Linked DNA regions of Arabidopsis thaliana. The protein of the gene in region 2 interacts with the protein of the main gene of each other region in a pairwise test. Each region holds a gene or a part of one and is shown on either strand. Other genes may lie near its edges.

What was found.
Region 1: the proteins of WNK10 (region 2) and AT2G45360 interact in a two-hybrid assay, tested with the Arabidopsis thaliana proteins (one large-scale study listed by BioGRID).

What each region holds. Positions count from the first base shown.
Region 1 is NC_003071.7:18,696,931-18,700,058, reverse strand, and holds AT2G45360 (ankyrin repeat/KH domain protein (DUF1442)), read right to left. Parts: upstream 1,468-3,128; 5' UTR 1,441-1,467; coding exon 1,381-1,440; intron 1,287-1,380; coding exon 699-1,286; 3' UTR 545-698; downstream 1-544. Other genes in the region: AT2G45380 (myeloid leukemia factor), read left to right, coding at 6-81, 180-245, 338-471.
Region 2 is NC_003070.9:24,017,856-24,022,843, reverse strand, and holds WNK10 (with no lysine (K) kinase 10), read right to left. Parts: upstream 3,355-4,988; 5' UTR 3,261-3,354; coding exon of another isoform or gene 3,258-3,260; 5' UTR 2,925-3,257; coding exon 2,874-2,924; intron 2,727-2,873; coding exon 2,689-2,726; intron 2,573-2,688; coding exon 2,345-2,572; intron 2,243-2,344; coding exon 2,022-2,242; intron 1,936-2,021; coding exon 1,778-1,935; intron 1,699-1,777; coding exon 1,299-1,698; intron 1,209-1,298; coding exon 730-1,208; 3' UTR 534-729; downstream 1-533. Other genes in the region: ENODL8 (early nodulin-like protein 8), read left to right, coding at 1-362; AT1G64625 (Serine/threonine-protein kinase WNK (With No Lysine)-like protein), read right to left, coding at 3,663-3,986, 4,060-4,161, 4,255-4,988. UniProt on the Arabidopsis thaliana protein: May regulate flowering time by modulating the photoperiod pathway.

The sequences.
Region 1 (3,128 bases), on a different chromosome or scaffold from region 2:
TTCAGGGTCATTCAGTTACTAGGAAGCTCAACTCAAGTGGTGGTGTAGAGTCGACACAGACTCTTCACAACCTCGATGAAGGTCCTGCAGAATCTACACAGCCTTATCATAACTTAAAGTTCTTTGAAAGAAAACTGGCAGGATTCTAAAAGATCGTTTCTTTAATTTTTTTGTTTTAGATGAATTAAGTGGCTTTGAAGAAGCATGGAAAGGCAATTCATCTCTTGGCAAGCATGAATTCACTGGTTAGTAAACTCTTCATCTCAAAACTAATCTTTGATCTCAAGAGTTTCAGTCCATTATACTGTATTGTTTTTGTTACTGTACAATGTTACAGGCTCTGATAATAGTTTTGGAGGGTGGGTACTTCCATCTCTTGACCAAATTCGTCGCCAAACAGACCAAAGTCAGACTGGTTCGAGCCGATCTGCAACTGGAGCTAAGAAGGTTGTTCGAATCAACATTGAATGAATCATCAGAAAACCATATATCAATCTATGTGCGTGTAAATCAAATAATTTTGTAGTTGTTTTGAAGTTGTAGTAATTGGCAATATTTTACATTCGTGTAAAAACACAACATACATACAGTATTAGACTTTTGATTATGGGAAAAGTAAAATTATTCAAGCTTTGTTAACGTATTTATACATCTCTACAATGAAGTGGTGGAAAAAGGGTAAAAGAGGAAATCCAAATTTAGCGTCTGAACAAATGCTCCTCTCCCGACAGATGATCCACGTGTCTAATCCAACGGCTACGAAGATTCCTCGAGTCCCCACGACCAGTAGCTCCCACGTGTACAATATCCAACCCACTACCAACCGGTAAAAACACGGATCTCACCACACGTGTTCCTCTTTTCAACACATCGTGCCATTTAAAACCAGAGATTGCTCTATGCATGGCGTTTTTACACACCAAAACGGCACCCTTGTTGCTCAGCTTCGCAAACCTCAGCGTTCTGACGAACTCTCGCCGCTTCGAGTCCACCACCAAGAAATCCACACCGGGAAACTCCTCCATCGTGTTCTCAACAGATTCTCCGACCACCACAACCTCCGTCGTAACAAATCCTCTCATGGCCAACACGTACTCAAGTTTAGATTGCTCGTCAGGTACTATACACACGTGTCTTCCACCCGTGTGAGTTGCAGCAACCGCGAGTCCGACGCTAGTCGTGATTGGATCGCCGCGTGACCATGTCTCAACGATCAGCCTCGCGTTCCATCCAGCCGCTGTAGCTGATAAAAATTCTGCCACTCCTGACTCTTTGTCGCTCTTACACTATACACACATATATTTACATGCAAAATCAAATAAAGATTATATAAAAAAAGCATGTATTTACACACATATGTAATCTAGTTAAAAGGCATACCGATTTAACGGTGTCGATGTAGGCGTCAGAAGCAGTTTCCGGCGACCAGACAAGCTTCATAGTGAAAGTGAAATGGAGTTTGATGATTTGGGAAGAAGAAGAAGAAGAAGTAGTTAGGTTTTATAAATGGACAAACGAAGCGTTGACATTTGCTTACACTAATAACAACGTGTCAATTGGTCTCATTGCTTCCATTTATTACTCCTTATTTAGCCTCACCATCTTCTTTTTTATAAAAAACACTTTGTTACAATCAATAAAATCTAATTTATAATTCCATCCTAATAAAAATTCGAGAATTTATGTCGTCGATTTGCGTTAGCCCACGCTCTTTTCACAACCTATGCAAACCAATATCCATAAATATACACAGTAAAATTTATCTAGACATGAATTACATATTTGAATCATTTGGTTTTGTTATAATAGATAGCAGTTGAATGTTTTTATTTTGTTACTTATTTCAGTTTCGTCAGAAGGGTAGCTAGCGTGTGAAAAATACCTGTAGTAGATCAAAGGATAATTTTTGATTGCTGACATTGTGGACTTAGTGAGACAACTTGAATAATTACATGAGATGGTCAGCTTCAATCTTTGATTTTTTCCTTTTCTTTTCTAAATTTTCAATCTTTTGATTAAAGCCTTTGTTATTTCAACTTAATGACGCGATTCATATACTATCTTTTTTCTTTGACACTCGCTTTCATAGTGCCAACCAACGAATCTATAATCAAAGGTTATATAAGAAACACCAAGCCTATACAAACATAATTTAACGCCGCCTAGTTTTGTTTATTCTGCACGTAACATATAAAGCTAACAGATATGCGACAAAATATCTATAAATTACATATATAAGTATATATAATATAAGAATGTTGGATGTATATATTAGTAGTTTAATCAATGAAAATATATCTTTATATCTTTATTAAAAAAACTAAAAATGTATCTTTATATACATTTCGTAGTTTAAAATCAAAATTCAAGATAGAGCGAAAATGATTTTTTTTTTTTTAAATGAACCAAAAGTACAACATTCCTACCTTTATTTTTAATAACTCGTTTATATTCGCCAATCAGACACACACATAGACTTTTAAAATAGTAAAAGTAACTTAGCCGATTATTTATGTAAAATATTCGTATAAAATTTTTATTAACAAATATATTTGATTTCTCATCTTATAACCTGTTTATTGATCAGATTACACGAAAAAATAACTAAACAGATAAATTTACTCGAACTGCATACAATAGAGATGTATTTGTGCATGAGTGTAGCCCAAAAATGTGTAAGGAAATAACACCCATTGGTAGGCCGAGACATGCCTGTACCATGGCCGCTGAAATAGTAGAAGAACCAAATACCTACCAAAGTACTCTTAAGCTAACGTTGACATGATTTAATTAGATTAACGATTGAGTAAACGACAAATTAGCGCTTTCGTTTTATATTAAAGACGCACGATATTTAAATGGCAACTATACATTAAAATTATATAAAATATATAACTATAACCAATTTGATAAATGAGAAAAATGTACGATATGTCGTACCACTCCATCCTGACTATGACTTATGGAGGAAGTCAATGCTTATCAACTACTTGCTTATCAATATCCTATTTATCACTATCAGTTTTTCTCTTTTCTATACATATATTATTTCCTATAGATCATGTTGGTCATAATGTAATCAACTTAAAATTTAAGATCTACTAGTTTGTGTTGAAGTATAACTGTAT
Region 2 (4,988 bases):
GCGAAGACTCACTGATTCAAGTGACGCCCTCCAATTTCAAGAGCTGCAACACCAAAGACCCAATCTTGTACATGAACGACGGCAACTCTCTCTTCAACCTCACCCAAAACGGAACCCTATACTTCACAAGTGCAAACCCCGGCCACTGTACCAAGTACCAGAAGCTCCTAGTCTCCGTCGGCACCTACTCCGCCGAAGCAGAGGCCTTGTCTCCGTCTTCTGCCGCCGACGCTCCCTCTTACCAAAACGCCTTCGGGTCCATTCCTCTCTCTCAGAAATCGTCTGCTTCCTCCTCGCTCATTTCTGCTTTCTCCACTGTCGCTGCTTCGCTGGCTTGCGCTGTCGTCGGTGCAATCATGTGATGGAATTTTTGAATATCTTTATTTATTAAAGCAAACAGTCATTGCTTCTTTTTTGTTTTGTTTTTGTTATCATCTCTTAATTATTTATTCTTCTTCATTGGCTCCTATCTTTTTATATCTCGAAAATGAATTTGCCAATTTTCTAAACTATTAACAGATATGTACACACAATGACACAATCCATATAGTTCTAAATTTTGAATTAGCGTCAAATACATTTCATTCTTTCAATCTGTGATTCCTGATGCAATGCATATTTTTACATGTAACCAAAAGCTACGAGAAATGAAATAAAAGGCAAAGAAACAAAACAAAAAGTTGAGTAAATCCCAAAACTGTGGCTACGTTAAATGAAATGAAGGAATCATCAACTCAGCTTCATCCACTTCCGTTTCGCCTTCTCTATAGCTTCCTCTTTCATTCTAAGCAGTCGTTGACACGATTGGTTATATTGTGACTCTATCACATTCAGCTCCGTCTTCAGATCCTCCGACTGCTTGTTTGACACCATTGAGCATGAATCCAGAAACGAGGACAACAATGACTCTACTGCCTCGCAGCAGCAGCCGAGCCGTGACCCCTCGTTTGAGGAGACCCGATGGTAGTAGTCCGCTGATATCTCTGACTTCATTGATTCTCCAGCTTCTTCATCCTTGGACTGATATACACTGTTTGCATTAGGCAGGCTTCGATTAGCCTTCAGCTTCATTATCAGTTCATCTATCATCTCAGCTATCACAGTAACCTCATGGCTTGACAGATCAAGCTCTTCAACCATCTCCCCTGTAACTGCTCTTGCTGTGTCTGTCTTCAGATTGAAGTCAAAATCAACTTTTCTCGCTTGACCTGATATAAAATTTATACTGTCATTAAGCAATTCGAAAATATGCAAGAGAAGAGAAAAAGAAAATGGCCATAAGATATCGTGAAACAGACCAGATGAGCCCGCGATCCGCAGAGCCATTGATGCTGCCACATCATCTCTCCTCTCTCCACTCAGCTTGAATTCGGTACTTTCAGCAACCCTCTGGACTTCCATGGTCTGGAGCAATGCGCATTCTTGGCTGCTTTTAGCAGAAGAGCAGATGGAAACACTTGTATTCTTCTTATATTCAACATCCATAGGACGATATTCACACTGTGGTGGCATTGCAGGTTTGAATGTTGTGTTTGATGAAGCAGTAAGAGTGGAGTCCTTGGCGCCATCTACTGCAAGGAGTTGGTCCTTCAGGAGCTCTAGAGCAGTTGGTCTAGAAGGAGCTGGGAGAAGACACTTCTCTATGAATTGCTTAACTTGAGGATCATCAACTTTGCTGAGAGATTGAGGTTTTATACCCTGCTAATGCAACAATGGTCAAGGACGATCCCTGTGTCGAAGAGAAATGTAAGACTTATATATATCAGGTCAGACTTACCGAGGTAACCTTCTTGTATATTTGAGCCTGGTTTCTGCATTCTCTGTATGGATATTCACATGTTACCATCTCCAACATGCACATGCCAAAAGAATAGATGTCGACAAGTTCATTATATTCTTCTTCATAAAGCTCAGGCGCCATGAATTCAGGAGTGCCTGAAAAACATACTCAATATATTCAGTTCTAGAAAAGCTTATCCTAAAACCAACAAGACTTAAAGAGGTTTTAATAGTATTATTACCAATCACACTTCGAGCAGTGGGTTGCTGCATCACAGCAGCGAGCCCAAGATCTCCAATTTTGACCTTTCCGGTATTTCCATTGACAAAAATATTGTCGCACTTAAGGTCACGGTGAATTACAGGAGGGGTCTGAGAATGCAAATAGTGCAGGCCTTTAAGAATCTGCCTTGCCCAGTTCATGATGGCCTTGGGATCAACTTTGCGGTGCTTCTTGCGATAACTTTGGACCAAGAGAAATGACAATCAATGGAAAGGCAGACGTAGATATATTATAAGAGATAATGAAAAGAGAAGAAGAGAGGAGAGGAGTAAGTAGACATACAGGGTGAGACTACCAGAGGTGAAAAGCTCAGTGATCATGTTGATGGACTTGTTATGATCATCAACCCAAGAGTAGAAGAGTTTGATGATGTTATCATGTTTAAGGGAATTGAGGAGATGGACTTCGGAATATAGCCTATCAAGTTGGCCAGGCATCTGCAAGACATCTTCAATGCTCATGAGGTTCCAAGCAACTTCAATACCTTCGACTTCATCAAATGCCTTATATCTACACGCGGCGAGGTAACAACAACAACAAGAGATGAGAAAAATACTTAAAAAGCAATCAGAGTAACATAGGCACTGCAATGAAAAAGTAAAGGACGTATAAACAAACAAACATACACAGTTTTGAAGGCTCCTCTCCCGAGAACGTCATTATACTGAAGAAAGAAAGAAGAAGATTGTTATCCTAAAGTGACCTTCCAAGCCATTAACGTAGCTATTACTTATATAAATCTTATCGAGGAAAAGTCTATAGATTGACATTGTTATCCTAGAAACCATGGAAATTGCAGATAGCGTCGTACCCTAATGTAGCGACCAGTGGGATCTTTCTGGACGAAGTCAGCCTCTTCCATGGCAGATATTCTAACCTAATGATACTAATAATCCGGAAGCAGAAGAAGAAGAAGAAGAAAGGAGGGATGATGATTGGTGGTTACAGAAGGGTGAGGAGATGGAAGGAGATTGGATCGGAGAAGGCCTCACGGGCGAAGCAATAGGAGTCGATCGCCGATCGGAATCGAGATCGGGAACAGAGGAGTGTGGCGGCCATCTCCGAGATGATGACGGTGGTGAGATGGTTCTGCGTTTGTGTCAGCGTCGTGTCTCTTATTATTGTTATTGGATAGAAGAAGAAGAGCATCTCCTCCATTCATCAACCATCCACCATTGCTTTTAGACAACGACCGATGAAGAAGCTTCAATTTCGCCACCAAATTTCACAAATATCAACAAAAATCAATTTCTCTCTCTCTCTCGAAACCCTAAAAACAGATTGAGGATTTGATCTTTGTTCAACTTTTTATTTATATACAGTGTCTCCCCTTTATCCTCGTCAAGGATAACGGGCATCTATTTTCTGATTCAGTCAGTTAACTGTTATCCACCCAAAACGGTGTCGTTACGTTCCTTTTTTCTTTAAATGGGCCTTCTTTCTTTGTCTTAGTCAATGTTTTAAAGCCCATACAATCTTCTTCTTTTTTTTCCACGAGCCCATACAATCTTCTTTGATGTAATGTTACTACTATTTATCAACAGATTCTTGTGTTGTTGTTGTAACAAAAAGAAAGAAAATCAAAGTGGTAGGTATTATACTATGATAATAAATCATCATGTTTGGTGTGGTGTTGAAAGAGCTGAACAAGTGAGTACAAGACTTGAATCCTTGTGACTTGTGGCTTTGCCTGTACGATGAAGTGTGCCCATATTTGTCCTTTTCTTGTTTCCATCACTCCTTTCAATATCTTCAATCCCAATCCTCTCACCACTTGTCCTATCTCCAAGAACTCCTCTCTTTCCTCACACACCATCTCTATCTGCATTTCTCCTTCCCTGTTCAATTCCTCCACCATTATCGGACATACCACTCCTTCTTCCCCCACTTCCAACGCCCATGTTCTCTCTTTCTCCTTCACCAGCTGATAAACATCATTCACTCATCAATACTCAAACACTTGTGTACTTACTGAATGGATATATTTGATTCATTACCTTAGACTCGTATGGTTGTTTGAGTCTCTCTGCATACTTGGCGAGGCTTTGCATGAACACCATGTGTTTTATGGTCAGATCCAGCAACGTATCTATGCTACACTGTTTAAATATATATCGAAACTTATTAGAGAATGCATTTGTTAATCTATAATTTGGATGCCCTAAACTAAACTATATTATTATTCAATTTACCTTAGCTCCATTTGGAATCATCCCTCGCAACTCCTTGATACGGTCTTGTATCATCTGACGGTCCTTAGGCCTCGGCCTCCTGCTTTCTCCTGCCTTTGCTCTTTTCTTCTTCACACCTTCTTCGTGAGGCTTCTTCCAGTTCCCTCCAATACTTGATCTCTCATCATCATCAATCCACAAACTCCGACTTGTTACTGTCTCCTCCTGAGGGAACAAGCTTGAGCTATGCGCCGATGATGTATCAAGCTTCCGTCTTTTGCTCTGGTTCACACCAGAGTACTCTTGCACGTTCGTGAGAGAACTACTACAAGTGTTGTTGCTAAGACTGCTGCTTATGAGCTCTGAGAAGAGTCCTTTAGGTGGCAAAGCCATTGTAGGCGTTTGAGAATTCATCCCCAAAATGTCGAAAAGATCCTTGTCAACTCCTTGGATCACCATGGAAGAGCAGTTCTGTTCTGGTGGATCAGCGAGCAGCTGGTATAGATCGTCCAGAGAGTAAGACTGGAGAATGTCGAACCCATAATCATCTCCATTGGTCAGATCTTGGTTGGAAGAAGCTGCTTCAGAGGAGATCATCTCAGGGCTGAGCAAAGAAGGAGGATTGTCCTCAGCGAAGATGTCATCAAAGCTAAATCCTTGAAAAGATTCAGCTGGGAAAATCTCACAATCTCCCAGTGACTCAAACAGAGTATCGAGATCACCGGAATCATGTGGCTTTAAACACGTCTCCTGGA